Tribolium castaneum: one gene and its partners. The protein of the gene in region 1 purifies or fractionates together with the protein of each later gene. This does not show direct contact. Links are inferred from orthologs where the notes say so. Each region holds a gene or a part of one and is shown on either strand. Other genes may lie near its edges.

The links.
Region 2: the proteins of Sf3b1 (region 1) and Prp31 fractionate together in Homo sapiens (co-fractionation; 3 studies listed by BioGRID and IntAct, with this or other methods). This does not show direct contact. The link is inferred for Tribolium castaneum from reciprocal best matches to the Homo sapiens genes SF3B1 and PRPF31.
Region 3: the proteins of Sf3b1 (region 1) and Hpr1 purify together in Homo sapiens (co-immunoprecipitation; 4 studies listed by BioGRID and IntAct, with this or other methods). This does not show direct contact. The link is inferred for Tribolium castaneum from reciprocal best matches to the Homo sapiens genes SF3B1 and THOC1.
Region 4: the proteins of Sf3b1 (region 1) and SF2 fractionate together in Homo sapiens (co-fractionation; 3 studies listed by BioGRID and IntAct, with this or other methods). This does not show direct contact. The link is inferred for Tribolium castaneum from reciprocal best matches to the Homo sapiens genes SF3B1 and SRSF1.
Region 5: the proteins of Sf3b1 (region 1) and transformer-2 protein homolog beta purify together in Homo sapiens (co-immunoprecipitation; 3 studies listed by BioGRID and IntAct, with this or other methods). This does not show direct contact. The link is inferred for Tribolium castaneum from reciprocal best matches to the Homo sapiens genes SF3B1 and TRA2B.
Region 6: the proteins of Sf3b1 (region 1) and superkiller complex protein 8 purify together in Homo sapiens (co-immunoprecipitation; 3 studies listed by BioGRID and IntAct, with this or other methods). This does not show direct contact. The link is inferred for Tribolium castaneum from reciprocal best matches to the Homo sapiens genes SF3B1 and SKIC8.
Region 7: the proteins of Sf3b1 (region 1) and Srrm1 purify together in Homo sapiens (co-immunoprecipitation; 3 studies listed by BioGRID and IntAct, with this or other methods). This does not show direct contact. The link is inferred for Tribolium castaneum from reciprocal best matches to the Homo sapiens genes SF3B1 and SRRM1.

Annotation. Positions count from the first base shown.
Region 1 is NC_087395.1:16,040,037-16,044,179, reverse strand, and holds the start of Sf3b1 (splicing factor 3B subunit 1), read right to left. Parts: upstream 2,801-4,143; 5' UTR 2,684-2,800; coding exon 2,656-2,683; intron 2,602-2,655; coding exon 2,333-2,601; intron 2,284-2,332; coding exon 2,157-2,283; intron 2,152-2,156; exon of another isoform or gene 1,719-2,151; intron 1,515-1,718; coding exon 1,435-1,514; intron 1,322-1,434; coding exon 1,133-1,321; intron 1,085-1,132; coding exon 1-1,084. Other genes in the region: corepressor interacting with RBPJ 1, read right to left, coding at 2,951-3,137, 4,003-4,143. UniProt on the Homo sapiens protein: Component of the 17S U2 SnRNP complex of the spliceosome, a large ribonucleoprotein complex that removes introns from transcribed pre-mRNAs.
Region 2 is NC_087395.1:18,107,641-18,111,593, reverse strand, and holds the start of Prp31 (U4/U6 small nuclear ribonucleoprotein Prp31), read right to left. Parts: upstream 2,801-3,953; 5' UTR 2,706-2,800; coding exon 2,369-2,705; intron 2,316-2,368; coding exon 1,492-2,315; intron 1-1,491. UniProt on the Homo sapiens protein: Involved in pre-mRNA splicing as component of the spliceosome. Required for the assembly of the U4/U5/U6 tri-snRNP complex, one of the building blocks of the spliceosome.
Region 3 is NC_087399.1:4,612,862-4,617,003, forward strand, and holds Hpr1 (THO complex subunit 1), read right to left. Parts: upstream 2,801-4,142; 5' UTR 2,699-2,800; coding exon 2,660-2,698; intron 2,613-2,659; coding exon 1,941-2,612; intron 1,895-1,940; coding exon 1,671-1,894; intron 1,623-1,670; coding exon 608-1,622; coding exon of another isoform or gene 486-607; 3' UTR 460-485; downstream 1-459. Other genes in the region: rRNA N6-adenosine-methyltransferase ZCCHC4, read left to right, coding at 1-160, 206-440, 486-611. UniProt on the Homo sapiens protein: Component of the THO subcomplex of the TREX complex which is thought to couple mRNA transcription, processing and nuclear export, and which specifically associates with spliced mRNA and not with unspliced pre-mRNA.
Region 4 is NC_087401.1:8,588,123-8,592,166, reverse strand, and holds the start of SF2 (serine/arginine-rich splicing factor 1A), read left to right. Parts: upstream 1-1,244; 5' UTR 1,245-1,333; coding exon 1,334-1,500; intron 1,501-1,546; coding exon 1,547-1,728; intron 1,729-4,044. UniProt on the Homo sapiens protein: Plays a role in preventing exon skipping, ensuring the accuracy of splicing and regulating alternative splicing.
Region 5 is NC_087395.1:15,203,854-15,206,726, forward strand, and holds the end of transformer-2 protein homolog beta, read left to right. Parts: intron 1-539; coding exon 540-635; intron 636-921; coding exon of another isoform or gene 922-1,032; coding exon 1,033-1,186; intron 1,187-1,419; coding exon 1,420-1,595; intron 1,596-1,917; coding exon 1,918-1,956; intron 1,957-2,010; coding exon 2,011-2,114; intron 2,115-2,283; coding exon 2,284-2,294; 3' UTR 2,295-2,373; downstream 2,374-2,873. UniProt on the Homo sapiens protein: Sequence-specific RNA-binding protein which participates in the control of pre-mRNA splicing. Can either activate or suppress exon inclusion. Acts additively with RBMX to promote exon 7 inclusion of the survival motor neuron SMN2.
Region 6 is NC_087397.1:7,428,825-7,432,353, forward strand, and holds superkiller complex protein 8, read right to left. Parts: upstream 2,034-3,529; 5' UTR 1,900-2,033; coding exon 1,897-1,899; intron 1,851-1,896; coding exon 1,735-1,850; intron 1,684-1,734; coding exon 1,517-1,683; intron 1,476-1,516; coding exon 1,240-1,475; intron 1,194-1,239; coding exon 1,006-1,193; intron 917-1,005; coding exon 745-916; intron 691-744; coding exon 601-690; 3' UTR 501-600; downstream 1-500. Other genes in the region: zinc finger protein 830, read left to right, coding at 2,208-2,321, 2,397-2,968, 3,019-3,163. UniProt on the Homo sapiens protein: Component of the PAF1 complex (PAF1C) which has multiple functions during transcription by RNA polymerase II and is implicated in regulation of development and maintenance of embryonic stem cell pluripotency.
Region 7 is NC_087398.1:3,116,110-3,119,877, forward strand, and holds the end of Srrm1 (serine/arginine repetitive matrix protein 1), read left to right. Parts: coding exon 1-265; intron 266-1,485; coding exon 1,486-1,704; intron 1,705-1,762; coding exon 1,763-3,140; 3' UTR 3,141-3,268; downstream 3,269-3,768. Other genes in the region: collagen alpha-1(I) chain, read right to left, coding at 3,459-3,605, 3,657-3,768. UniProt on the Homo sapiens protein: Part of pre- and post-splicing multiprotein mRNP complexes. As a component of the minor spliceosome, involved in the splicing of U12-type introns in pre-mRNAs. Involved in numerous pre-mRNA processing events.

The DNA of each region.
Region 1 (4,143 bases):
ATATTTTGTGGACGTAGGGACGGACTAAATCGTCCAATTTGTACAAAATTCGGTCTATGACTTTGACTAACAAGTGACGTTCTTGGTCCTCCAGAGTTGGACTCATTAAAAGGGGCAAAATTTGGTTAAAAAGGGGCCCTGCACCGAATTCTCGAGCCTTGTCTGTGATTTGCCTCAAGGCGGCTTTTCGCATGGGAGGGGTCCCGTTTTTGATCTTTAGGAGTAGTTTCATTATTTTCCGTTCTTTCTGTTCCTCAGGACTCAAAGCTTCTTCATCAACATCGACCAATAATTTATCAAAATATTGCGCATCTTCTGGTTTCATGAACGGCAAATTCTGCCCTTTTGGTTGATTATCCAGATATTTGGCTGTCTTATCTTCCTGTTGGATGAAAAATCCCTGGGGAGTATTAACCATGGGTGTGGGCGTGGCTGTCAATTTCCTTGCTGGCGTCCTGATGGGTATATACCCAGCCGGAGGTGCCAAAATCTTGTACCCCGGCGGAAACATCGCATCCAATTCCTCATCCGAATACGGCCTATTCCTCTCGTCAATCTCCCGCTCCCATCGATAGGCCTGGAGTTGTTCCGGAGTCATGGACGCCAAGTGTCCCGGAGTGGGCGTCGCCATGGCCATCGCCTTGACTCCGACCGGAGTTGACCCGCCCGGAGTCAGCATCGGAGTGGCATGGCTTGGCGTTCCGTGCGGCGTTTGCGGCGTCATAGCACCCGGAGTCATGTGCGCCGACGGTGTCTGAACAGAGGGAGTTTCATCCCAACGGGAGCGGCGTTTGGACGCTCCCGGAGTCGGTGTTTCGTGAATCAAGTCGGCTCCGGTTCGGTCGGTGCGCGGGGTTTCAGCCCAGCCGCTCGAATGTCCCGGAGTTTCACGCTCGGTTTTGGGTGTTTCATCCCAGCGGTTTCGACGACTGGCACTCTTGTCATGAGCGGGCGTTTCGCGACCTGGAGTTGCAGCCCCGGGGGTCGCGTCCCAGATACGGGTGGATTGGCCGGGGGTGGCGCCCGGCGTTTCACTGCCTTTGTGGCCGGGGGTTTCGTCCCAGCGGTGGTCGGCTGGAGTTTTCTGTAATTTTTTTATTAATAATTGGTTTTAAAAAATTGGGATTGTTACGTCAGCATCCCAGATGGGGGTAGCAGCTGCACTGTTGGTCGTTACGGAGAGAGTTTTCTTTTTGCTGGGGACGACGACTTCGTCTACGGTTTGGTCCCAGCGCCCCCGTTTCTTAGGTGCGCTCTTTACCTCACCGTTTGTTGATTTGAGTGAACCGTCTTTGGATTTTTCCAGAATTTTTTTCCTCAACTGAAATTAAATTACAAGTGGTCAAAGAAATCAACTTTGAGTTAACAAAGGACTCCATTGCCGGACATAATTACGAAAAAAAATTGGCTAGGTGATAAATTTTTGATACTGACCTCGTTTTCTTCTCCTTTGAGCATCTGCTCTTTCATAATCTGGGTGTAACCGCGGGCATTGATGTCTGGTGTTTTGCCACCTGTAAACATAACAGCGTTGAAAAACGCCAATTAGTAAACGGAAGCACTTGTTGGCAAAAAATGGTCAGACTTTTCTATTTAGTATCTGTTCTTTATTGAATGATTGAAAGATTTGGTTGCACCACAATTCACTCAAACTGATTATTTTTCGAATATTGGGGATTGAAAGGGAGTGAATTTGGCGAACAAATCTTGATACGTACGTGTGATTGTGCTCCATCACAAATCAGGCAGTTTCTCGCAAAACAACTGGTCAAATCGAACCTAGAAATAGGCTGGGGTAATTAATAATTTTCTATACATTGCATACACTCTTTCACTCTTGTTCGATTTTCGTTTACCAACGTTACATTTTACGGAAGTGATCCATTAAAATCGCGGCGATTACTTCTCTAGGAAGACACCCCTAAATGTTGGAATCCAATACAGAACAAATTAGTTTCTTTGTACTGATTTTTATTTAATGCCTACTTTCTCGAGTATTTTTGCTCACTCATGCATCCATTCGCTATCTTTCATATACCCCAATAACATACAAAACTTGAGATAAGCGACAGCAACAGCATTATCTCAAATTTCATATAAAACATAAACAAGTGGAAAAACGAGCTATAAATACTTGGACGAAATCAACTACTCACCGTCAGCGAACGGATCAACACGTTCGGGTGAAATAATCATCCGACGCCTCTTTTGCCTGTACTCGTCCTCTCGATCGGCAATCGTGGGCCTCCTCTTGTCAGCAAACGGATCAAAATCCTTGTCGCTCTAAACAACTCAGTTAACTACCACAAAACTTAAATAACACAAATCTCACCTGAGCGACATCATTGAGGAGCGCCACAGGGGCCCCCAGTCCGGTCCGTTTCTGACTATAACCCACATCGTCGTCCTCTTCATCGGCTTCATCGTTGGCGGCGATCGAGGTCACATAACCCTCGTATTTACCCTTACCGCCGCCCCCATCGTAGATCTCACTATCAAAATAGCCACTCTCGCCTAAACCTACACCCTTCTCGTTTCGCTCCTCTTCCACCGGAATTTCCTTCTTTTTAGACTGGATTTCACGAATTTGGGCCTCGATGTCTAGAGACGCAAAAAAGTCATGAAACGGGCTTTTGGGTGCAAAAAACAGCGTACCTTCATGAGTCCTTGGTATCTGTTCCATTTTCTAGCACCAATGCTTGTTGCTTTGGCTTATTTCGTTTCAAAACACTTTCAAGGAAAATCAATGACAAGCTTGCGTTACAAAATGGCGACTCATTAAGCGCCTGCGCGAAAATGGACCAATAGCCAGCCTGTCGCTAAAGTTGGCGGGATTTATAAATAAAATTCGGTGGAATACGTTTAAAAATATATTACGTTTTCTAAATTATTACAAGTATCATGATAATCCCTATAATCACAACAATTCTAAGAAATGTACAACAAAAACTTAAGAGCGTCTTCTTTTGCTATTTTCATAATAGGAATCATCAGATTTTCGCTTCCTGTCCCGTCTGTAGTCATCATTGTTATGCCGTGAGTGCTTTTTGTCCCTCCTTGACCTGTCCTCATCGGAACTTCTTCGCCCATTCTTTTCGTTCCTTTTACTGATTGCTTTCTCCACAATTTCCAGTTTCCTGTAATCAATTAATTAATAGTAAATTAAAAGATCTTTGTACTATTTTTTGTAATTGCCCCCTTTTTGTCGTTTTTAAATAAAAAATATTATTTTAATCGATTTAGGGATTTTTGAATTTTTGTAAAATTGTCATTTGTCAAAATTCAAGGCTAGTATGATTTTGGCAAAATATGGCTATAACTCAGTCTTTCAAATGGAACGATCCTTTTTTCTTAACAGCAATCGAACATCAATATTTATGGTGACTTTTATGAACACGTCCTATACCCATTTCCTACATTTTTAGAAATAATTACAAAAAAAAACACGGATTTTACTTCGTAATTTTCATAGTTAATCAAGTAGACCTTGCAAAATGGTCAACAACTGTCCAACTTTTATTTAGTTTTTAGTTGATTTATTATCAAATAAGCAGTACTTTTATTTAATAGCACAACTTTATCGTATTTTTCGAAAGTTTACTCGATTAAAATTGAAAACAATGAGCTTTTGGTCTTTTTTTTTTGAGATTATTTTAAAAAGTATAAGAGATAGATATAGGAGATATTGATAAAAGTCTCCATAAAAATCGATATCCTTTTGATTACCATTCAAAAATTTGAAAAAACTGTTATAATTACTTTTTGATCAATTTCAAAAAATCATAGTAGTCTTGCAATTTGACATTTGACAATCCTGAAAATTTGAAAAGACCCTTTGAACCTTTGGTTATCGAATACTAATATAATTATTTATTTATTGTAAAAGTTTCAAGAGTTGTGATTTTTTAAATGAACTACTGCAAATGAAAATTTTCGTACAAAAAATTGATATTCGACTAAAAAGTAGAGTACATTGTCCTCAGTTTTAAAGTCGAAACTTACTTAATCAATGCCTTTTTCTCCTCTTTGGACATTAGTTTAAACTCTGACGACTTTTCCTTCTTCTTGTGTTTCTTCTTATCATCTTCCGATTCCTCCTCAGAGCTCGTACTCTGATTCCTCCTCCTGAACTTCCTCTTCCCT
Region 2 (3,953 bases), about 2.1 Mb from region 1:
ATTCCGTCATTTTGTATTTCGATTTACTTTCATATTAAATATACTTTTATTAGAAGTCTCAAGTATCTTATCCCGAAGTTCCAACATTAAGTCAGAAACACACTTAGGTCGAGTTGTATAAAAAATTTCAGGATTAAACCCATAGCCATTGTTATGAGAATAATTGTTAGGGATTTAAATCAGGACTAAAGATGATACAACTCGACCTTAGAAATGTAATCACATTTTTTTTAAGCCAAAGATACAAAATTCAAAATATAACATTATATTTTGAATTTTGTATATATAACATTATATTTTGAATTTTGTATAATCTATTTTCAACTATCAACATCATTTAAACAAGGATAAGATTATAAAGCAATAATAGATAAAGGAGAATTACCAAAGTTTCAATAAGTTTATTTCTCAATTTGAAATCTGAATGTGATAATTAGAACGTAAGAGTTTCAAGGAGATGAACCATTTTTTGATAATGAATAATGTGTTTTCCACTGTCAATGTAAGTCCTAGAGATTTTCTTTTTGCAAGAACGTTTAATTTATTACTAATAATATAAATATTAATATATTATTCTTCAAAATATTTACAACTTTTAGATGCAAAGTATAAGACTGAATATTTATTTTCATTGAGTTTTAAGTTAACATTACTGCAATGTTTGGCTATTCTTTTTAGATCATTGTTTATTTGATTCCATTCAGTATCATGGTAATCGATTTTGTTTGAAAAATAAATAAATAAAAATTAGTATAAAACGCGAAGAGGAGGAATGCAGTACAGAATTACAGACGAAACCGCTTTTTTTTCAAATTGAAAGCCGTTTGGTTTTTAAAAACCCGTGAAAATTTAACTCAATTCAATGTTACTACTGCATTTTTGTCTCTATTTTTTTTAAACTTATTTTGACATAAGTTATAATACGGAAGCTTTAATACATTATATTTAACAATAATCACTAGACTAGTAAAAAAACGATTGATGGACTTATCTCATTATTGCACTGAATAAATGTCCACAAATTTTCGGTGTTATAACAACTGTTACTGTTTAATGACATTAAAATAAATCAATCGATTACAAAACCAGTTATTGCATTTGAAAGAGAAAATTTTATAGCATACGTTTCTATATTTTTCTCAAAAAGACTAAAACTGGAGTTATTTCGTTAAAACATCGAACACCCCAATTAAAAAAAGGATTGGGCCCAAAACTGAGCACTGGGGTACACCTGAAGTTATGTGTTTCGCTTATTCGTTACAACTTATTGATACCGGTCTTGTAAGTATCAAGAGAATAATAAAACTGCATTTTCATCAAACCCATAGAAAACTTTTTGCAAAGAAGATTGTGATCTCTAGTATGTTATCAAAATCTAATGAAACTATAATGCTGCTTCAACAGTAGATTGGCTAACAATATTGTGTAATTTTCAATGTAAGAAATATTTTCAATACTAGAAAAATTTAATACAAGAAAAACCAAACTTACATCAGCGAAGTTCATTCTATTGGCATGTTTCCTGAACTCAGTCATCGCATATCTCTCTTTCATTTTGCGGACTCTTTTCCCGCCCCTTTTCTTCTTGGACTGGTCGATAGGTTTCGGCAGCGGCTTGATAAACTTAACTGGGGGTGGTTCCAACAACTTGTCCAGTTTTCGTTCAATTTCGTCGCGTAATTGCCGCCCAATACGTCCGTCTTTACTCTCATGACACGAGTCCACACGTGCTGCTAGCGTGCATTTAGTGGCAACAAGTCTGGCAGCCTTCCTTCTCAAATCAGGCGGAGTATTTTGCACGATATCTGCGTAATAAACGAAACCAGTGTGCGGCAACATATTCACTTGTGAAAATCCAGACAATGCCTTCTTCTGTTGGCCCAACAATTGCACGTTACAGGCCGGAATTTTGGACAATCGGGTCAAACCCCCGGCAACCCCCATGAGCTTGGCGGCGATCGAAGCCCCAAGAATCGCCGACAAGTTGGGGGCGATGAAAGCCATCCGACTCTCAACGTATTCGTAAATTTTCAGTTTGAAGTTGTTCAAGTCTATGGCCATGTCGCAAGCTTCGTCGATTTGTTTCTTTTCGACGTCCGTTAGGAGAATCCCCTGTGTCGTGGATGCCGTGACTGAGACAACCATGATAGTTGCCTGCGTTAGGAATTGTTGCAAAATTTCATTATTTTTGGCTTGGTCTAAGTCATTCCCGAGCTCTTTGACGGTCTTCAAGTACTCCAAAGGACCAACAACAAGGGAGTCCAACTCGGGGAACCGCTTCTGGTACTTGTCGCGCACAAATTTATGGACAGTGGCTTCAATAAAACAGATTAGTTTCAACTGATTTGGTTAAAATCGTAACTCTTACCAATTTCCGCGTCTATATCTGCAGCAATGTTGTTAGCTTCGACGATCAGTTGATACTCAGGGTCCAACTCAACTGGTCCTATGATGTCGTGGTATTTTCGGCTCTTCTTCACATGGTCTTCGATTTGTTTCAATATTTCATGTAAATGGGGCGAGTCCCGTAATTTACACAACTCTCGGACTGAAGTTATTTGAGTTGTGTCTACCTCTAACTGGATGTCTTTAACGTCGGGTTTTTCTTCTTTGATGTCCGGTTTTTCATCAACTTCCATCGCTTCTTCCAAATCATCTTGATCGTTTTCTTCCAAATCAGCCAATAATTCGTCGGCCAAAGACATTTTAGCGAGTTAAAAACGTAACTCCAAAACGTTCACACAACACTTGGAAGTGAGGTTAGAAAAATGCAGTTTACAAATTGACAAGTGTCCATAGATTACTTGTAATGTGGGGCTGAATTACTGGTTGTCTATAATAATCTGCTTATTAATTTGGGGATAATGAAAAAAAACAATATAATTATTAATTAGTGAAGGGACGGAATATAGTCCGTGAAAGAGTACTTTTCCGGACACATATATCACTAAAAAAACAGTTGTTATTGTAGTTTCAAGCCATGTTATTTAAATAAAAAAAACTTTTTTTTTATTTTAGTCAACTTTTTGGTAAAAACTATAACTATAAGAACATAAGAGCAAACTTGCTTCGCCAAAAGCTCTTTTAAATACCATTTTAAATTAGAATATTAAGATAGTTGTTTTTAAAAATAAACAAAAATAAATGGAAAAAAGCATACAAATAAAAATAAAAAGGAGTCAGAGGACGCCAAAGCACCAACTAATTTTAATAAAACCGGATTGAATAAAACTGTATGCCGAAGAAAAGAAATAAAACTTTTTGACTACAAACGAACACCTTATATTCATCTTAACGAAGTTGTGGTAGATGACAGAAATATTTAAAAAATTTACTTTCTTATTAAATTTTGGATCAAGTTGTGTCTTCTTTTTAAAAACGATGCATTTGTATTTGTGAATAACTTCAATTTTTTAAGAAGATTTAGACAGCAAAAAATTGTAAAGACTTACACGTAAAGCTTAAAAATGGTTTCCGATTTATTTAACGGAATTAACGCTTTAAGATTCATTTTTTAGAAAATAATTGCAAAAACCCACAAAATATATTAGAAAATCTTTTAATAAATAATTTAATTCCTATTCATTACCCGTTTTCTATTCAACAGGGAAGCGATCATTTTTAAAATTAAAAATTATTTGGCATCTACGATAGTTCAATGCTTCAAATCGAAGCAATTTATCTGTTATCTTATTATAATAAACTACCAACCGACTTTTTAAAATTCTGATCTAGTTATCCATGACAGATACGTCATCAATGAAACATTTTGCATAAATAACTTTAGCATCGCTTTATTTGTCAATATGTCTAAAATGTTCACCGAAGAACCAAAAAAAATATGTTGGAATCTTATTTCCGTAATGGAGATCGGGTTAACGTAACTGTCACGGATAACTAGACCAATATTTTAGAAAATCACACAGTATTAATTTGTTTGAATATAAAGTTAC
Region 3 (4,142 bases), on another chromosome or scaffold:
TATTCCCCTACTTTATGGAACCGCAAATACTAAACAGCCTCCCCGACTATTCCATGCTCGATTATAAAGTCGACTATGACAACCATCCTTTGTTTCAAGACGGCGCTAAGGCGCGGAAATTTGGGTCACCCGTCCGAATTTTCACGAACGTGGACCCGAGGTAAGCCGACGATTTTTACGAACTTTTCGGGACAAAAAATTGTAGTAAAATAGTCCTTCCGGCGAATGAAGGCTACAAATTTTGCCAAGAGTGCAACAAATGGGTTTCAAACGAAAACAAACACTGCCCCATTTGCCAGAAATGCACCTCGAAAGACGGCCGGACGTACACCCACTGTCCCATGTGTGCAAGGTGCGTTAAACCGAGTTGGCAGCACTGCGAAAAATGTGGTCGGTGCTGCCAACCGGACCACAAATGCGGCGACTTGGTCTTTACTCAGGTCAGTCTCAAACTCCCAATTCAAGGTTTAATAATTTTATTAAAGGATTGTTTCCACTGTAAACAACCGGGGCACAAAAAACGGGACTGTCCCAAGGTTGATCACAAACAATTACATATGAAACGCAAATTGAAAAGTAAAAATAGGGCGAAACGAGTTAAATACAGTTAGGAATCCATCGAATTGATTTCATTTCGGACAATTTCCGCCGCCTCCTCCATCTCCAACCCTTCCAAAATGTACAAGAAGTTGTCCAAAGTGGCATCTTCGTCGTCATCGAACCACAGTTGTAGCATATTACGGGCCTGGTCCACCTCTTTCTCATTTTCCATACTGAAGAACTGGATTTCGTCAGTTTTGAAGCCCAACTTGCTGGCTAGTTTTTTCCAATTGGGGGCCACTTTCTCGCTGAAGAGTTGCAACTGGTTCGGGTTTAATTTATGCTCGACTCGCGCGTTCTTATCGTCCATAAATTCCTCCGTTTCGGACGGTTTGATGTCTTCGGTGTTTTCATCAACTTGCGTGTCCTTAAACAAATTTTCTTCCTCGGCGTCGTTTTGTTGCGACTCTTGCGAATTTTCGGTCACGCGACCTGGCTTATCATGCGCTATTTTCTTGACCATCATCTCCAAATACGAAGACAGGGGGTTCATAATCACAGTACTGTAGGTGAAAAAGTGGGGGCTGCGCTTAGCCAAGAGTCTCAAAGCCCGCCACCCGTAATTCCCATCTTTCAGTAAATTGTCTTCGTCTTTGACTGCGCCAGGTGACTCGATTTGGGCGATGGCATCGGCGAAATAATCCTCAAGTGTGGGGAGAAAATCGCGCTCTCGGCCTTTACAAGCCTCCAAGTTATCGGGGCATAGGTTCCACAGTTTGGTCAGTTCGGTGCTTCCCATGTAGTATTTGCCCTCACTGGAGGCCTGTTTAATGATGTCGCCTAAGAGAGGGCGCTCTTCGGTTCGGCGCTTGTCGGGGCTTTCCGTGGGAACCACCGATTTTTTCAGTTCGGGACAACCGTCGTTCTTCCAAGCGTTCCAATACTCCTCCCGACTTAGAATATTTGAGGCGATTTCGGCAAATCGTTTACCGTCTGGAGGAGTCTCGCGTAACAAACTGTAGACTTTTTCGGTGCTTGATTGGATCCACTCTTTTTGGTCCGACTTTAACTCGAAACTTTCGCTAAAAAAATAAATTAAAGGTGCGTCTAGTTTAAAGAAACCGACTCACGATTTAAATTTTACGGATGATGAAAGGTACTGGAATAAAATTAAAAACTGCAACAGGACGGCGCGCCGAAAATTGACGTCGTACAGTTGCAAGTCGAGCAATTTTTGGCTCGTCAGGTACTTGGAAAAGTACATTTTATTTTTACTTTCGTCACAATAGCTCCCGTTATTTTCCACGTGTTCAAGCTTGAGGCCTTGGAACGTGTTAAAGACACTCGTGGCGTACTAAAAAAAATAATAAAAATCGGTTAAAATGCGCAAAAATAATTACGGTGCAAAACAGTTTCCATTGCACTTTAGTGTACAACTGGTTGGGGTTCCGGAAAAAATCCTGGAGCGACCAAAACTTGCAATAAAACGTGAAATCGATCACGTTTTTCTTTTCGTCGCCGTCAACGTCGCCCCCCTTTTCCTGGCTCGAGTCCGTGCCATACTCTGTCGTGTTTTCCAAATTAAATTCGCTCACAATATTCAAACCTGAACGTTCAGAAAACGGGAAAAACTTGGCCAAAAAGAGGAGAATTCGGCCGCAAAAAACGGTCGCCGTGGACCGAGATAACCGCCTCAATAAGTCGTTACACAACCTGAGTAAATTATTTTTGCAACAACTGAAAAACAAGTTCTCTTTCCACACTTCGACATTGTTCTCTACGTAGAGGAACATTTCCTGACAGGCGTCCAGCGTTAAGGCGTCAAAAATGTCCGAAAGGAGCATCACTGGCATTGTGGGGTTGCTCAGTTCCTTGCGACATGTTAGGACGCTAAAATCGACCAACTCGCGTAAGACTGAGACGTTGACTTCCTTTTCAAGGAGTTCGAGTAAGACGTCGCGGAACGCCTGGTCCAGAGGGGCCTTAAGGTCGATGGCGGACTTCGACAAGTGTTTGGCTTTAGTTTCGATCAAATCGGTGGTTTTGGTCTTGAAAGATTTGCGTAAAACGTCCTAAAAACCGGGTTAGAAGTGGCGTTTGAGGTTATGTCGGGGCCCACCTGGTATTCGACCCGTAACGACTCGAATTTGCCCCCCATTGCTTAAATGCAACGCTTGGAGGGCCCCCAACGTGAAAAACGCTCAATTTCGTGTGAAATACTTGAATAAGCGACCGGAATCGTCTTGTAAACAACTGTCAAAGGTCAAAAATAATGTTAGAGTCCGCGAAATGACAGATCGTCCACGGTGGTAGGAGTGCGCAGATACGAAAACTCGTCTCGGACGAGTCCAATCTTTAAATTAGGGGTGTTGGCAGAAAACAGTGGCGTGGCGTGTACTTACATGTGTAGGGAATTCGTCTTAAAGTTTAACATTTCAATATTACCAGTTATAGTAAAGATACCAGTAGAAACATTTTTTGCAATAAACGCGTTTTTACTCTTTACTCATTGTGTATTTTTATTTATTCGACCTCTCTGCTTTGTATTTCTAGGAAATCAACGTGTATTAGCATTAGATATGATTTTTACTATTTCATCTTGCAATTATTGAATAGAGGAAATTTTAACTACTACAAATTATGAATCTCAAACCCTTCTTGATCATAGAATGGTTTTTTGCTACGCCACTGCTCAATCTCCTCACTCGATGAAGTACGCATTGGCTCCGCCTATCGTGGTCGTTTACAGAGTTTCCGAGCTCTACCACTAATTTTCGCACTAAAATTTCACATTGCCAGTTTCTGTTTAAATATAAACATGCATTTTTATTTTTCCATTAACTGCATGCGAAACTTTTATAATTTTAGACGTTTATAGACAAATACATTTGTCATAATTAATTTTTCTAGATCAATACTGTTCTATTTTGAATAATTCTGTGTATGAATGTTTCTAAATTTGACGGATTTGGACAGTGAATGTTTCTGGTTATGACCTGTTTTAGACGTGTGATGACGTCACATCCGAGGTTAGGTGTGCGGCGCAGGCGGCGAGGGCGGTTCAGTCGACAGCGAGCAGTGGTACGGGTCAGATCGGGAGCGGGAGCGGGAGGCGAGGCGAAGCGAGGTGAGTCGGTTTATTTAAATTATTGTGTATTGTGCGGTTTCGTTCAATTTATTCAGTTTGTTACTTGCCGTTGTCGCGAACGGACGTGTGTTCAAGCAAATCTAAATTTTCCGGTTTAAATTTTCAATTCGGTGGCTAGTGATCGCGTTTGAGTGACACATTTTAAATACAGTAAATAAAATTATAATCAAACACTCAAATAATTAATTGCCACGTAATAATTTTGTCTTTAATTTCAATGAATGAAAGTGGCTTGCTCAAAATTTAATGCAAATAAACATTTTTTTGGTTTCAATATTATTATTATTTTTTTTTAATGCTACAAACGGTAGCCAACGTGGAAGCGATATGAAGGTAGGTGTATTTTATTGCTGTGTCGTATTTATTTATTTCTCAAACCAATAATTTCATAAAACTTAATTGCAATTAAAATCTTTAAATGCGGTGTTGAAAAGTGATATTTTGAGTGACACAT
Region 4 (4,044 bases), on another chromosome or scaffold:
TTTAATTCTAAATTAGATCTTAATTTCACTTTCTGTAAACCGGCTTTAAAACTGTTTTAATTGTTTTTAATTTAAGGAGCTTTAGTTGTTGGTACAACGATAATCAACAAAATTGCTAGGTTTGCTATTTTTTGAAATGTGTCAAATTTTAACAGTCCTTTAATAAAATTACAGAATAGGTCTTAGTGTGTGCAGTTTGGTAAAAACAGTTTATTTATGCGTTTGTTATGTAATTACTACTTAGTGTTGGTACAGTTTTTTGTTTTAATAAGTACTTCCACTAAAAATTTACGATATGATTCGGTAAATGATCTCTTTACCTATTCTTAGGGTTAAATTAAACGTTAGAACTATCATAACTTCACAAAAAAATGTAAAACTTTTAGCTCTTCATCTAGTTTTGAACGCCTCCACAAAACACAAATTGAACTTGCTCAAAACGATTTCGGGTTAAATTCAAATTCAAATTTTGATCAAACTAAAGTATTGCTGTTTCAGAACAATAAAAACGCCAACGTCGCATTTTCTCTCAAAATTAGCTGTTAGAGTTTATTCCAAAAATGAGTGAATTTTGGCATTAAACATACATAGGTAAACATTTACTATTGAAAAAAAAATGACCATAGGCGTCGTTATACAATGTCTGTCAAATCCACTGTTAGTATTTAAAAAATTGTGGTAATTAAGTACTGTGAAAAATAATAAACAAATTATTAATAATAATTAATAGTGATATTTCTACCTTTCTCCGTTCTCAAAATTTATTAATGTTAAAATGAGAACTAAGTAAACTTTACAGAAAAAAAATGCACGCCCATGTATTTTTATGTCACTGTCAGTTCGCCACCAGATATGGAACAACCTCTATAAATTATTCATGCACTTCAAAAAAATAATAACTAGTGTAATTTATACTTTCAATGAGAGATCTAATCATTAATAACTATTTTACAATTTTATCAATAGTATTTAAAAAAATAATTCGATAAAATGCGACGTTGGCGTTTTTATAGTTTTGAAACAGCTAATAGAGGCAAATGAAATTAATGTACAATTAAATTTTATTTTAACAGAGAAATTATTCCGGTGACCCTCAAACCCCGTACCAATACTTCGGAGTTGAATAAAATTCTTAAAAATAAAAATTCCCTGAGTGTGTTGGCAGTTATCTCATTTCTACACTCTTCTGTAAACACACTGTATTGTACTGCAACCCTCCATTCGAATTTGGCGCCACACCCCGTCCAGATGGCTCTGCCATCACAAACGCCCTCACGTCGCCATCTTTCCTTCTTGTTTATCGCCGATTTCGTCCACTTTCCAACACGAAACGATGTCCAACAGCCGCAACGACTGCCGAATCTACGTCGGGAATCTGCCCCCGGACATCCGCACCAAAGACATCCAAGACCTGTTTTACAAATTCGGCAAAGTTACATTCGTCGACTTGAAAAACCGACGGGGACCTCCTTTCGCCTTCGTCGAGTTCGAGGACCCCAGGTAAGCCCCCATGTGGCCTCGAAACCCTCTCAGTGTGCTGATTTAGGGACGCGGACGACGCCGTACATGCACGGGACGGTTACGACTACGACGGCTACCGCCTCCGGGTGGAATTCCCGAGGGGCGGCGGCCATGGCAGCTTCAGGGGTGGCCGCGGCGGCGGCGACAGGGGACGCAGCTCCAGGGGGCCACCAGCTCGCAGGTCGCAATTTAGAGTGCTTGTGACAGGTGGGTTTGTTAATTTGATTTGTGTTTTCGTTTTTTATCGCGAAAATCATTCGAAATATAATAGGAAATAAAGGTCGGAAAAGCGATTAAAAGGAAAGTCATTTAGTTTTTATTTACAGAATTTTTCGAAATTACACACAAGGGTATTTTAGCATGTGTGGCTGCCACCTACGATTTGATTTTTTAAATTGTGAGGTTGTGTTTTCATTGCATCGTTTCTTGAATCGTCAATAATTTATTATTATTATTACATTTTTGTTTTTTTTTTGTAAACTATAAGATTAGAGCGAAAATAAAAAAAGCATGAAAATACATTTAAAATTGTCTTATCTTTTCGTAAAAACATATGGGCTGTTCGTTTTTATTGTTACAACTTTTAAACAGGTGATAGCACACTCAATTTTAGGAGAAAAGTTTCCTACAAACATGTATCGAAGAATATTTCATAAGGGGTGTTCCTTTTAGTGTAATTTAATTTCCCCAATATTTCAGAAACCATGGCATATAAAAACACAAAATTTGGTACAGATAATAATCTCTGTACGTCTAATTGAATTCGAACACCAAATGTACATATTTGTAATCAGGGACGTCCCAAATTGGGGGGTGGAGGATAAAAAATACCCCAACTATTTTGGCTTTCGTTTTTTGACAATTTTAGAAACGAAGGCACATTTCTTATGGGAATTTAAGGACCACTCAGATTGAGTAATTTTTATAATATCAATCGATGCGTCTTAAAAAGCTGAACAAATCATATCATTGCGTCAAACGTGTAACTTAATTAGGAATGCCGGAAATTGCAATCGAATTGAAGATTTGTCCCATAATAAAAGCATTGGGGCGGCTTTTCGGTGAGAGCTTGTAATCCAGATTGGGGGTCAGGTATAGGGAACAGACACTTTTATGGAAATAGGGATTTAAGCTGACAAGTTATATCTCCAACAATGAAGTGTTATACTCGAAAATAAAAGTTTTTGGAAATTGTAGATTCTGAAAGTAGACACAAAATGATGTCTAGTAATATCGGTCTGAGTTTTTTTAAATCGGTACTTTTTTAGTAATAATAGAAAATTCGCGCTGTGACGTAAGCAATGTCTCGACTAATGATTCGTCAGTCTTTTGCTGCATACAATTAACGCTACGACCTACGTTTGGGTTGGTAAACGTTAAATATAAATGTCAAAACCGTGCGTTGTTGATTGTGACTGTTGTGTGCTAATATTTTGCAGGAGTTTGTGTTTTGGTAAAATGACTGCTCCTGCAGCACATCTGAAGTCGTATGTAAAACAACAGAGGCAGAAATTAAGAAAAAACGGACCACTAGAACCAAATTGAAATCTACGTCTTTTTGGCTTAGGCCGCATTTGTAAGAAAATGTCGACGTTTTGTCCGTTCTTCCTCGGGACAGGTTCTGGTCGCGAAACCTTCTGTTCATCCCTGATTTTCATGTTATTTATGGTCTGTAACATACTGTTTATTAAGAAACGGTTAGTTGTATAGAAATAACACAAGAGACCATTTTTATGGAAAAAACTATGGAATTTACTATTTTGTTATTAAATTGTCAGAAAACTAAAACCAAAATAGTTAGGCCTGATTGCTCAGTTCAAGCTGAAGCTTTCGCTTACATGAGGTCGGTTTATATTTAAACTAAGTTTAAACCGTAGTTGTGTTGTTGAGTGGAAAGTTTAGCTAAACCGCGCTGAACTTGTCACTTACGGGGTTGGTAGTTCTGAACGCTTGCGCACTTCAAGTATGAGGTTGCTTGACGAAATTTTAACAGTTCTGATTTTGAAAAGTTAAGTTAATATTTTGGTACATTGTAGGAATAATATTGTTATAATGATATTTATGCTTCCTTCTGAAAAAGAGCAATTTATCGTTTTCTGTCTTTTCTTTCAAAACACAGCAATAAACTGATTTGCACAGTTTATTTGTTGCTTTTGTGCATTTGAAGACTTGGGCGTCCTCACTTTTTAAAACTATGCTGTAATTAAAATCACATAATATTTACTTAGTATCAATAATTCTAACAACATTATTCCCCTGACTGTCGGATTTTGCTGCAGCAATTAAAAAAGTTACTGAAATAAGAATAAGTAAATTATTATCATTATACTTTTTTTTTAGTTTTTTTTTAAATATAATAATAATATATTAACTTACATGTTGTCTATTCATTACTGTCATTGTTCAAGTTTATTTGTTTAATTCAAACTGAACCGAAATTTATTTAAAAAAACTGTTTCTGTGCATCATTTTTGAATCCGGAAATTTAATAGTTCTTCATCATTATTGTTAAAAGCAATTTTT
Region 5 (2,873 bases), about 840 kb from region 1:
ACAGAGTCAGAGCTATTTTTGACTCATTTTAATTATGTATTAATTAAGCGAGAAATTATATCTTTTGTTTGATTTTTTCACACAATATCAGTGGCCTTTTAATGTAGTGTTAAATAAAGCTGATTTTTCAATTTGCTTTTGATAAAAAGAAGTAAATAATAAATATATAACACTATGTTAGGTAATTCACTTCGTAGAAAATCATATATTTTAAAAAAGATATCGGTAGGTTTTTTCATAACGTAATAAGGATGAATGAATCAAAGATAACAAACGCTAACCTACATTAATTTTATCTGTGTGTTCTATAAGTGTTCTGTTTAATTTTACTTGCTTGTTGATTTTATTTTGTTTATTAGGAAACTTACATAACCATGAGAGTATACCAGGGTGAAACATATATTTTTATGAAAATGTCTTTTAATTTTAACTACTATTGCAGATATTAAAGGTTTTACTATTTTCTGGTGAAAATTTTTATTTTGGACTGTTTAATTTCAGTACATTCGTAAAATAAAACTATGTATTGTATATTTTAGGAGTCCAAGCCGGAGTAGAAAAATATCGTATCGAGATGGCGACAGAGACCGAGAAAGGCGCCGCGACGACCGAGACCGAGAAGATCGCAGATACAGGTAAGCTTAAAAAAGTATCCCTCCCGTGTGTACGTGGCACATGTCGCACATAATCGGACTAAAGCGTTGTCTGGGTTGGAGACGATTTTTTGTTTGAATCACAGCGAGCTTTCCTCAACTTTTACTTTAAATAATAAATGTACGTATGTTTTATTTTTTTTCTAATTCTTTTTTTGGCTTCACGTGAAACGTACCTCGAGTCGACGAATTTTGCACCAAAGTTTTTGACTGTCGTACGTATTTGGTACAACCATGTCATAGATCATTTTTTGATTTGGCCTTTCAGGTCGCGCAGTCGATCACGCTCAGACAGACGTTACAAGTCCTCGAGATATTCACGTAGTCACTCGCGTTCCCCCGGCGACCGGCGGTCGCTCTCACATAGCCCTATGTCTAGCCGCAGGCGCCATTTGGGGACCAGGGACAATCCAAAACCTTCGCGGTGTCTTGGCGTTTTCGGATTGAGCGTCTACACGACAGAGGACGAACTATATCACATCTTTTCCAAATATGGGCCGCTTGAAAGGGTGCAAGTTGTCATTGATGCAAAGGTAAAACACATACTTGTAAATAGTCAACACCACCCTGTGATATTTGAGAGAGTCTGGCTTTCAGTGCCTATTTTCTTGATGCGCACAGGAAGATTATAGATAGTGTCCCGTGCTGACATTTTTGATACTCCTCAATGCTCAGCTCCGTTTACACTACGACATTTTCTCTTCTTCTTTAATACGTTTCTTGTTTGGTGAAGCCTTGAAACTCATTTATTATTTGTTTTTGTTAGACTGGACGCTCACGAGGCTTCTCGTTTGTGTATTTTGAAAATACGGACGATGCGAAAGTAGCCAAAGATCAATGTTCTGGTATGAAAATAAACGGTAAAAATATTCGAGTCGATTATTCTATCACAGAAAGGGCGCACACACCGACGCCTGGAATATACATGGGAAAACCCACCTAGTAAGTATTCTTTCCTCGTTTAAATAACTAAGACAGTATTTTAATATTGTATTCTATGGTGCTACTTCTTTCTACTATTGTATGTAGGACAAAAAGTGTGTTGCAGAATTTTTCTAATATCCAAGAATCATTTCCACATGTTATGCGTATCCGTATCATGTTTTACTGATTCTTGGTAGAAAAAGCCGAAAGAATTTCAAGTTCGAGTAAGTTTGAAGGGAATAGAATTAGTGTCGTGAAGTGAAGACACTCGTAAAGGCTCCTTCTCACATTTTCATTGCAAATCCATTTCAGATGTGTGATTTTTGTCTCTTTTTTGCAGTAAATATAATGATCGTTACGATCGACGCCGGGATAGAGAGTAAGTTTAGCGATTTTTGCAAGTGATGTGGTTTTGAATTCGTTCTCTTTTAAGTGATTATTATGGCCGTGGTTCGCGCTACAGCCATAGACGTTCTCCATCGCCGTATTACAGGCGACGTCGTTACGACCGTTCGAGATCTCGCAGTTACTCGCCTCGTAAGTACCCTTTTAAAGTTTTGCCACGCCGGTGCAATTTTAAATTTAGCGATAAAGTGTTTGATTCTAAGACGGTTTAAAATTGCATTAAAATAACATTTTCGTTGATTTATTTTGGTATGTGGTGTTGCTTTGTTTTAATTCGTGTTTATTTTAATGTTAATTTCAGGTCGTTATTAAACTTCGTGGGGGCACTGCATTTATTGGAGAGATAAACCGTAGTTGTAACATTTCGGTGGAGTTTATGCCAGTATTGTAGATGTATATTTTTTACATTTGGTTTTTAATGTATGATGTTCCTGGTGTAATCTCCATGCGTTATTTTATTGGTTTATTTTTCATATTCGCGCGTTTGAGAGAATGTCGGCGGGTTTTAAGCGCCATCGTGGATTTTGTATAACTGATTCGAAACTTGATGCCAATCGAATGGTTGAAAGTTTTGATATGTAGTGTAGTTTTTGTTTGTTCTTTCTTGGTTTTCTTGAGTTCAATCTGTGACACTTAGATAAGCTCTAATAAATGATTGATATCAACACTAATATCGTTTTCTTTGTTTAAAAAGGGATAAGAACAAGAGGTTTGGGATGAATTATGAAGTTTATATAAGAAATAGAATTTTCTCAAGTTACCTTAAATCACTTCTCTGAAGCTTATTTCAATGAATCAGCTAAACACACGAAATGAATTGTGAAAATACATCCATCAAGAGAATTGAGAAATTTTTAACAACTCTCTTGAAGAATGAAAAATTGTTTTCTT
Region 6 (3,529 bases), on another chromosome or scaffold:
GGTTGAGTCAATAGAGGGTTATTTTTAAGTTTCCTTAGATATGCAACCAATAATACTGTTTCTAGCTCTCGGTAATCGTTAAAGAATAAAATTTAATCTATGATTACAATGTTATAGGTAGTGTCAAGTTTGTTTTAAAAATTTTGCTAAAATTTCATTATAGATTATTATTATTTATAAGATAAAAATCGGTGTTGATTTAATTAATGTTTTTAAAAATTAAACGAAGTAGTCAAGTGGTAAGACTAATTAGTATTTTTGATTGCATCTTAAAACATGTCACAAGTAACGCACTATTCTCACCCTGTATTAATATGGTTTGATTTACGATATTTTAATTATTGTCAATTTGACTAGTAGATAGATAATAATAATATCAGTCATGCAAACTATGCAAAAAGCTGACGTGTTTCCTAAGAAACACCACAAAATTATTAAATTAATATGGAAGTAGGAAGTAGGAAATTTTAGAAGTAATGTGGTAGCAATAATACCAACAATGGATGTAAAAATAGCTTTATTATAAAAAAAATTATACAACTAGGTGTTTAAGCAATACACTTCACTAAATCAATTAATTAATAAATTACGAAGTGTAAACTAAACTGGACAGCTGTAAACATTTATACTCTTATCTTCAGACACTGAAACAATTTTGGTACTATCTGGACTAAACCTAACACCCCAAACCTGCAACAAACGATTGAAAATAACAAATAAAAAAAATACAATCAAAAAAATTACTTGATCATTATGTTCCTTGAACGTATGAACACATTGTTTAGAGGCCAATTCCCAAACTTTAACAGTTTTATCGGAACTTCCTGACACGAAATATTTACCATCTGGAGAAAATGCAACGCTTACGACCCAAGAAGCGTGCCCTGACAAGGTACCAACAACATTAGTATGTTGCCTAAAAAACACCAAAATTATTTTATCTTCCGTGACTGCGACTTTGAAATTAAGTTGGCACCACTTAATTCAAAATCATAGCCTACTTACACGTCGTAAAGTTTCATATGGCCGTCATCTGACGCAGTCAAAAGTAGTTGAGAATCTGGAGAAAAACAAAGAGATCTGATTGGCATAGCATGGCCTTCAAGGGTTTGCCATAGTTTATTTCCCGCCACGTCAAAAATATTAACAATGCCGTCAATAGCCCCACTAGCTATGTATTTACCGTCAGGACTCTACAAATTTTAATTAAAAAAATAAACGTAAAAAATAAATAATTACATAAGCTATGCTCAAAATGTATTTGCCTCTCGTATCTAAAGTTTGTTCAGCTTTGGCCGTTTCCACGTTATAAACCGTGATTTTTCCAGCGTGTGAGCCGGAAATAATGTACTTGTCGTCAGGACTGAACGCTACAGTCCACAGTTCAACCGGACCCACATCAACATGCGCGATTTTTTTCCCCCTTTCCAAGTCCCAAATCCTCATACTTGAGTCTAACGAACTGGAAGCACACACTAATCAAACAATTACCCAGATGCTCAAATGCGCCCCACACATTTCCCGTTGTTGCTAACGGCAACGGAGACAACCCCCAACGAATGCCCTTCTAAGTTATGTTTCAAAACAAGTCTATCGTCTTGCAATTCCCACACTTTTACCAGATCGTCTAGAGCTCCCGTTATGATGTAATCAACGGGAGGCTCGTCCGACATCACCGAATCTCTAAAAAGCACCTTGTTATGTTTTTTAGAGTTTTTTTACGGAAAAACAAACCGGGACTTTTCCTCTTCATTCTGGTCTTTTTTCTTTTTTTCAGTGGTGTACCGGCCCCACGCACAACTCCAAATGCTTTCCTCGTGCGCATTCTCCTTCTTGTGTAAAACAGAATACTGGAAAATATGGTTTTAATTTAGAAAATTGGTTATGAAAAAATACCATTGCGCGAGTAAATGTGAGGTTATAGCGTGGTTTTTGCCGCTTTGCCAACCCGAAACACCAAATTCCCCAAATTATTGAATATATATTTTGAATTTCCCAAATCAGTGAGAGTTTTTATGCAAGTTTTCGCCTCCCAAGGGCCTCAGGGAGTCGTCTTTGTTTCAAAAAATCAATTCCTGATATAAATCACTGCTAAATAATACGCAGACCACAGTGGAAGATATTGGAACCAGTTGGCACCATCTTTGGTCCACTGTCACAGACAAGTTGACAGTTTTGTTTTTTAGGTTACGTTTTTAGGTAAAAAAATGTCTGCAACGTTTAAAAATTCAAAAAAGAAGCTTGTGCAGACGGAATTCCGCCGTTTAATAAGCGAGAAAAGCAAGTTGCAAAAAGACGTCAAAAAGATAGAGTCGCCTCTTGCAAAATATCCTTTCACGACCTACCCCTTGTTTTATTTTTATTTATCGTTCTTTTTGTATTTTCTTTAATATTAGTTTAAGTATAACGATTCAGGCCAGCTTACATGTGTGCTGTGTAAGTCCGTTGTCAAATCGGAAGCCGTATGGACAGTCCACATAAATTCGAAACAACACCGCGAAAATGTAGAACTCGCCAAAAAACTCAAAGAAAAAACGAACAACTTCACAACTCCCTTGAAACGGCCCTTGACGCCGCCTATGGAAGTGCCCCAGAAGAAAATCAAGGGAATTTTGAAAAACTCTAATTCAAGTAAAAGTGAAGAGAAGGAAATTCCCGATGATTTCTTTGACGCTAAGTCACAAAACGGTGCCCCAATCTTACCGGTGAAAAAACCTCGGGAAGAGAAAATGGAAGTTGATGACAATACTGAAACGATACCTGAAGGTTTTTTCGATGACCCGAAGTTAGACGCCAAAGCCAGGAATCAGGAATACAAAGATCCAGTTGAAGAAGAATGGGAGAAATTTCAGAAGGAAATTCGCGAAGCTGACAGTAAAAGTGCCGCGATTATTGCTGAAGATCAAGAGGAGGCGACCAATGAGCGACAAATTGATGAAATCGAAGAACAAATGAAGAAATTATCGAGGTATGGTCGTTTGAGTTGCAGAAATTGTGGTGTTTGAACGGCGTTTGTAGGGTTTTAGATTTAGAAAAGAAGAAAGAAACGATTATAACACACACTAGTGGGGACAAAGTAGATCAAGAGGATGATTCCAATGAAGACGATAATGAAGATTTTGATGAGTATTTGGACTGGCGGTGTAAAAAAGCGTTCAAATAATTTGTATTCATTTTATTTATATCAATAAATTTTTCTTTAGTATTTTATGTGCTGTTTTTATTCACCTTCGAGCCAAATTTTCGTAATTTATTTGTGATTTTTTTGTTAAGCAGATTTTTTTAACCAGTACAATGGAATAAAGCTCAGAACGCTTGATATTAATTTTTTAACTAGTTCACTAATTACTTGAAAAAAAGGCTAGAATCCGAGAAAAAACTGCCGACCAAAATTTTCACGACAAACAGAAAAAAATGTGCTCCGTTTCATATTTTTCCAAATGATGTGTGTGAATGTGTCAAAGATACAAGAAAAATGTGAGAAAGAAAGTTATAACGAATTAAAATCCATGCAAAAAGTTTTGGAGAG
Region 7 (3,768 bases), on another chromosome or scaffold:
GTTCGGACGGATCCAAGGACAACTTCGAGATCAGGAAGAAGGAGAACAGCGTCCAGAAGAAACGCCACTACAGATCCAACAAGGACAGCTCCGACAGCGAACCGGACCAGGACAAGGGCAAGAGGAAGAAGTCACTGTCGAAGTCACCGCGACGCGCCAGGAAAAACAGCAGGGATAAGAGTCCCAGACGCAAGAGGAGCTTGTCCAGGAAGAGGAGCAGCTCCAGGAAGAGGTCCCTAAGCCGAAAGAGGAGTCTTTCGAGAAGGTGGGATTTTTATTTCTATTATGTGTTTTACCGTTAAAAACAAGGATACAGAGTTAATTGTCAGTTTATGACATGGTATGTAGTCATTTCTTTAACAGTGTTGTGTCAGTGGTTCAATACTTCTAAATTTGCAATACGTAAACAGTTATCTTCTATTTGAAACTAGCATTCGATTTTTTGTTTTTATTAAGGGGAACTCGACCGTTCAACTGCATGAAAGAGAGATCTTTTAAATATTTTATTTTAAATATATTTTTTTAAGATATTGTTAATTTAAAATCGTGTTTTGTAATTTTTCGTGTTTTTGAATTTCTGTAGATTTATGTCAGAGACGAGAAAAAAATATTAGTTTTTCAATTCGGTTTATAATAAATAAATAATCATGGAAAATATGCGATATATTCTCACTGACACAAATTTATGAGGCTCTTGTAACTACTCAGTAATGCTAATGAATTTCTATTATAAAAACAGTAATTTTTTGTGCAAAATGATCGATAAATCTTGTCCCTAGTGGTGAATTGCCGCTCCAAATTATTTATCGGCCGTATCATTACTTAATTTTGCTTTATGTCACCAATAATTCCACAATTTACCGTTATTGTTTGGTCGAGATCCACTTAAATCTTATATCCGGCGTATCTCAGCTAAGATATTTGTTTTTTTTTTCTGTCTAATTTGTGAATTAATGTGTATTTTTTTTTGAGTAATTTTTTTAGATGAGATAACAAGCGTCTAAAAATGAATGAGATCGTAGTATGTTTTGGCTAGGCCTCATTTAGATATACGCTGGCCTGGCCAACACACCCTACGATGTCATTCATTTTTAGGCGCTTGTTACTTTACTTATGGGAACAGAATCTGCTATTTTGTATTAAATCAATTGATTTTTCGTTGTAAGGCCGCTAACATCAAAAAAACAAAACTTGATACATAGAAAAATCGATTGATTTAGACTGTATTTGAATTAATAACTAGAAGATATATCAAGTTGTTCTTCCTTGTTGGAGGACAGAATTTATCTCAGTTGGCCATGGCCGCTTTTCGACATTTGAGAACATAGCCTACTTTACGCCATTGCCAACTGAACCACAAACAAAAGTAGATACAAAAACTGTTTCGGATTGTAAGATACAGTTCTTGTCGTAGATTTTAATGCAAATTGTTAGTTGTAAGTTTTTAATTTTTACTTCAAATTACAGATAGATTTTTGCTTCCAGACGTAGTCCATCGCGAAGCAAGAGGAGTCTGAGTAGACGAAGGCGGAGCATCTCACGTTCAAGGCGGAGCACCCCGCGGAGAGCAAGCCCTCGCAGGAGACGCAGCTATAGCAGGAGGAGGAGCTTGAGCAGGAACAGAAGGGGACGACGCAGCAGAAGCCGCAGGAGTCCCAGCAGGAGGAGGCGCAGTCCTAGCAGAAGGAGGAGCAGCAGGGATAGGTTAGTATTATTAATTTATTTTATTGTCTGGTATTAATATTCCTATGTTTTGAATTAGGAGGCTTAGACGCAGTAGAAGCCGTGACCGGAACCACAGGCGACTTTCCCGGGAGAGAAGGCGCTCCAGGTCTAGGGATAGGCGGTCGAGGTCGAGGAGGAGGTCGTCTCGTGATAGGGGAAGTTTGAGGAGGAAGTCACCAATTAGAGGTAAATCTAGGGAACGTCTACGCAAGCCTAGTCCGAGTCCTGTGACTAGAAATGATCGTCGGGACCAAAGGGACGAGTCACGTGGGTCTCGACCGTCTGTTAGGAGACCGGACGACAGGAAAGAGGAATCTTTCCGTCGACTTGACGATTCCAAAAGAGAAGATCTTCACAAATCGGATAAGAAATTGGAAGAGAAACGCAAGGCTAGTACTTCTGATAGTCAAACTGAAAGCGACTTCAAATCCAAGGATAGGAAGAAGTCAAAGTCTAGGAGTATCAGTCCAGAGGATAATAATTTGATTCCTCCTCACGGCCCGCCACGATATTCGCGAAGCTTGTCTAGAACGCCGTCGCCGTTCATAAAAGCAAACGAATTCCCGCCTAAAACTAAGACAGTTCCTGCTGCGAAGGACGATAAGAAGAAACTCAAAGAAAAGGCTGAATTGAAAACTAAGAAGGTTACGAAGAAACCTTCAAAGAGTGAGACTGATTCAAACTCAAGTGATTCAGATAGTGAGGGACAGAAAGAAAGAGAGAGGGAGAGGAAGAAGATAAAGGCGAAGAAGAAGACGAAGAAACGCGATTCGAGTTCCAGTGATAGTGAAGTGGAGTATACTTCTAAGAAGAAGGATAGAGACAGTAGTCCCGAAGTGGAAGTCAAGAGTAAGAAAGGCAAAGACGGTAAGAGAAGTAGGCGCGACAGCAGCGAGGATAAAGTGCAGAAAAAGCGTCACCAGAGTTCCGATTCGGAAGATGATAAAAAGATTAAGAAGAAACGTGCACGTTCTGATAGTTCCGACAAAGGCCGTAAATCGAAAAAAGATGATTCGAGTGACAGTGATGTCCCTAAGAGTAAGAGCAAAAAGAAAGTGGAGAGTTCTGATGATTCTGAAGTTGAGAAAGTCGATAAAGACAAGTCAAAGAAACACAGAAGGGACAGCTCTTCAGACAGTGAGGAAGATATGAAGAAGCGGAAACGTAAAAAGAAGGTTACGAAATCGGCGAGCGATTCTGATGAAGAACTTGAGTCGAAGAAACGCAAGAAAGACAAGAGGCATAAAAAGAAGAAGAAGCACTCGAAAAAACATAAGAAACATAAGAAGAAAAAGGTAGAAAGTGAAGACTCTGATAATAGTGACGTCGAAGTTGTTAATGACGATGAGAAAAAGTTGAGAGAAAAGGCTCTCAAGTCAATGAAAAGGCAAAATTCGAGCGATAAGTCGGAGTAACGTGTAAAATAAATAAACGTTTTTGTTTAGTTTGAATGATTAGGTAATTAGCTTTTCTGAGTGACCTGTAATTTTTTTGTCATTCATTCCGTATGTTGCTGTCTTAATAAAGTTGATATGTATGTGGACTTCTTTGTTTTATTTAACTCCTTTAATTGTGGGTGAAGATGCGGTTATAAATCGAGAATTTTATTCTAAAATATTAATATACATTTTGTATAGCACCTTATTCAGATCAATAGAAAATATAAAATTTTACAACATTTATAATACTCTTGTATTTACAATGGCAGTGATGTAAGTGTTGTGTTTAAACTGTTAAGAAAAGCAAACGTGGCCAACTTCCACTGAAAACCCTTGGTTCGATCTTCCGGTATCTCTGATTGCAACATCTATAATTGGTAGTCTCGTTGTTTTATCTGTTTGGTAAGAGAGGACTGATCTTGCCCATGTGTCTGTATGAAGCTGAAAATTTTACGTTTTTCGTTGTTTTGTTAAATTAAAAAAATTACTTACTCTACATTCATCGACCAGTGCTTCATATCTCAAACGAGCGTTACCTCTGGGAGTTAACTCCACGTCGTTCCAAGCCATTAATTTTATCCCTTTTTTGTACGTATGTCTAGCA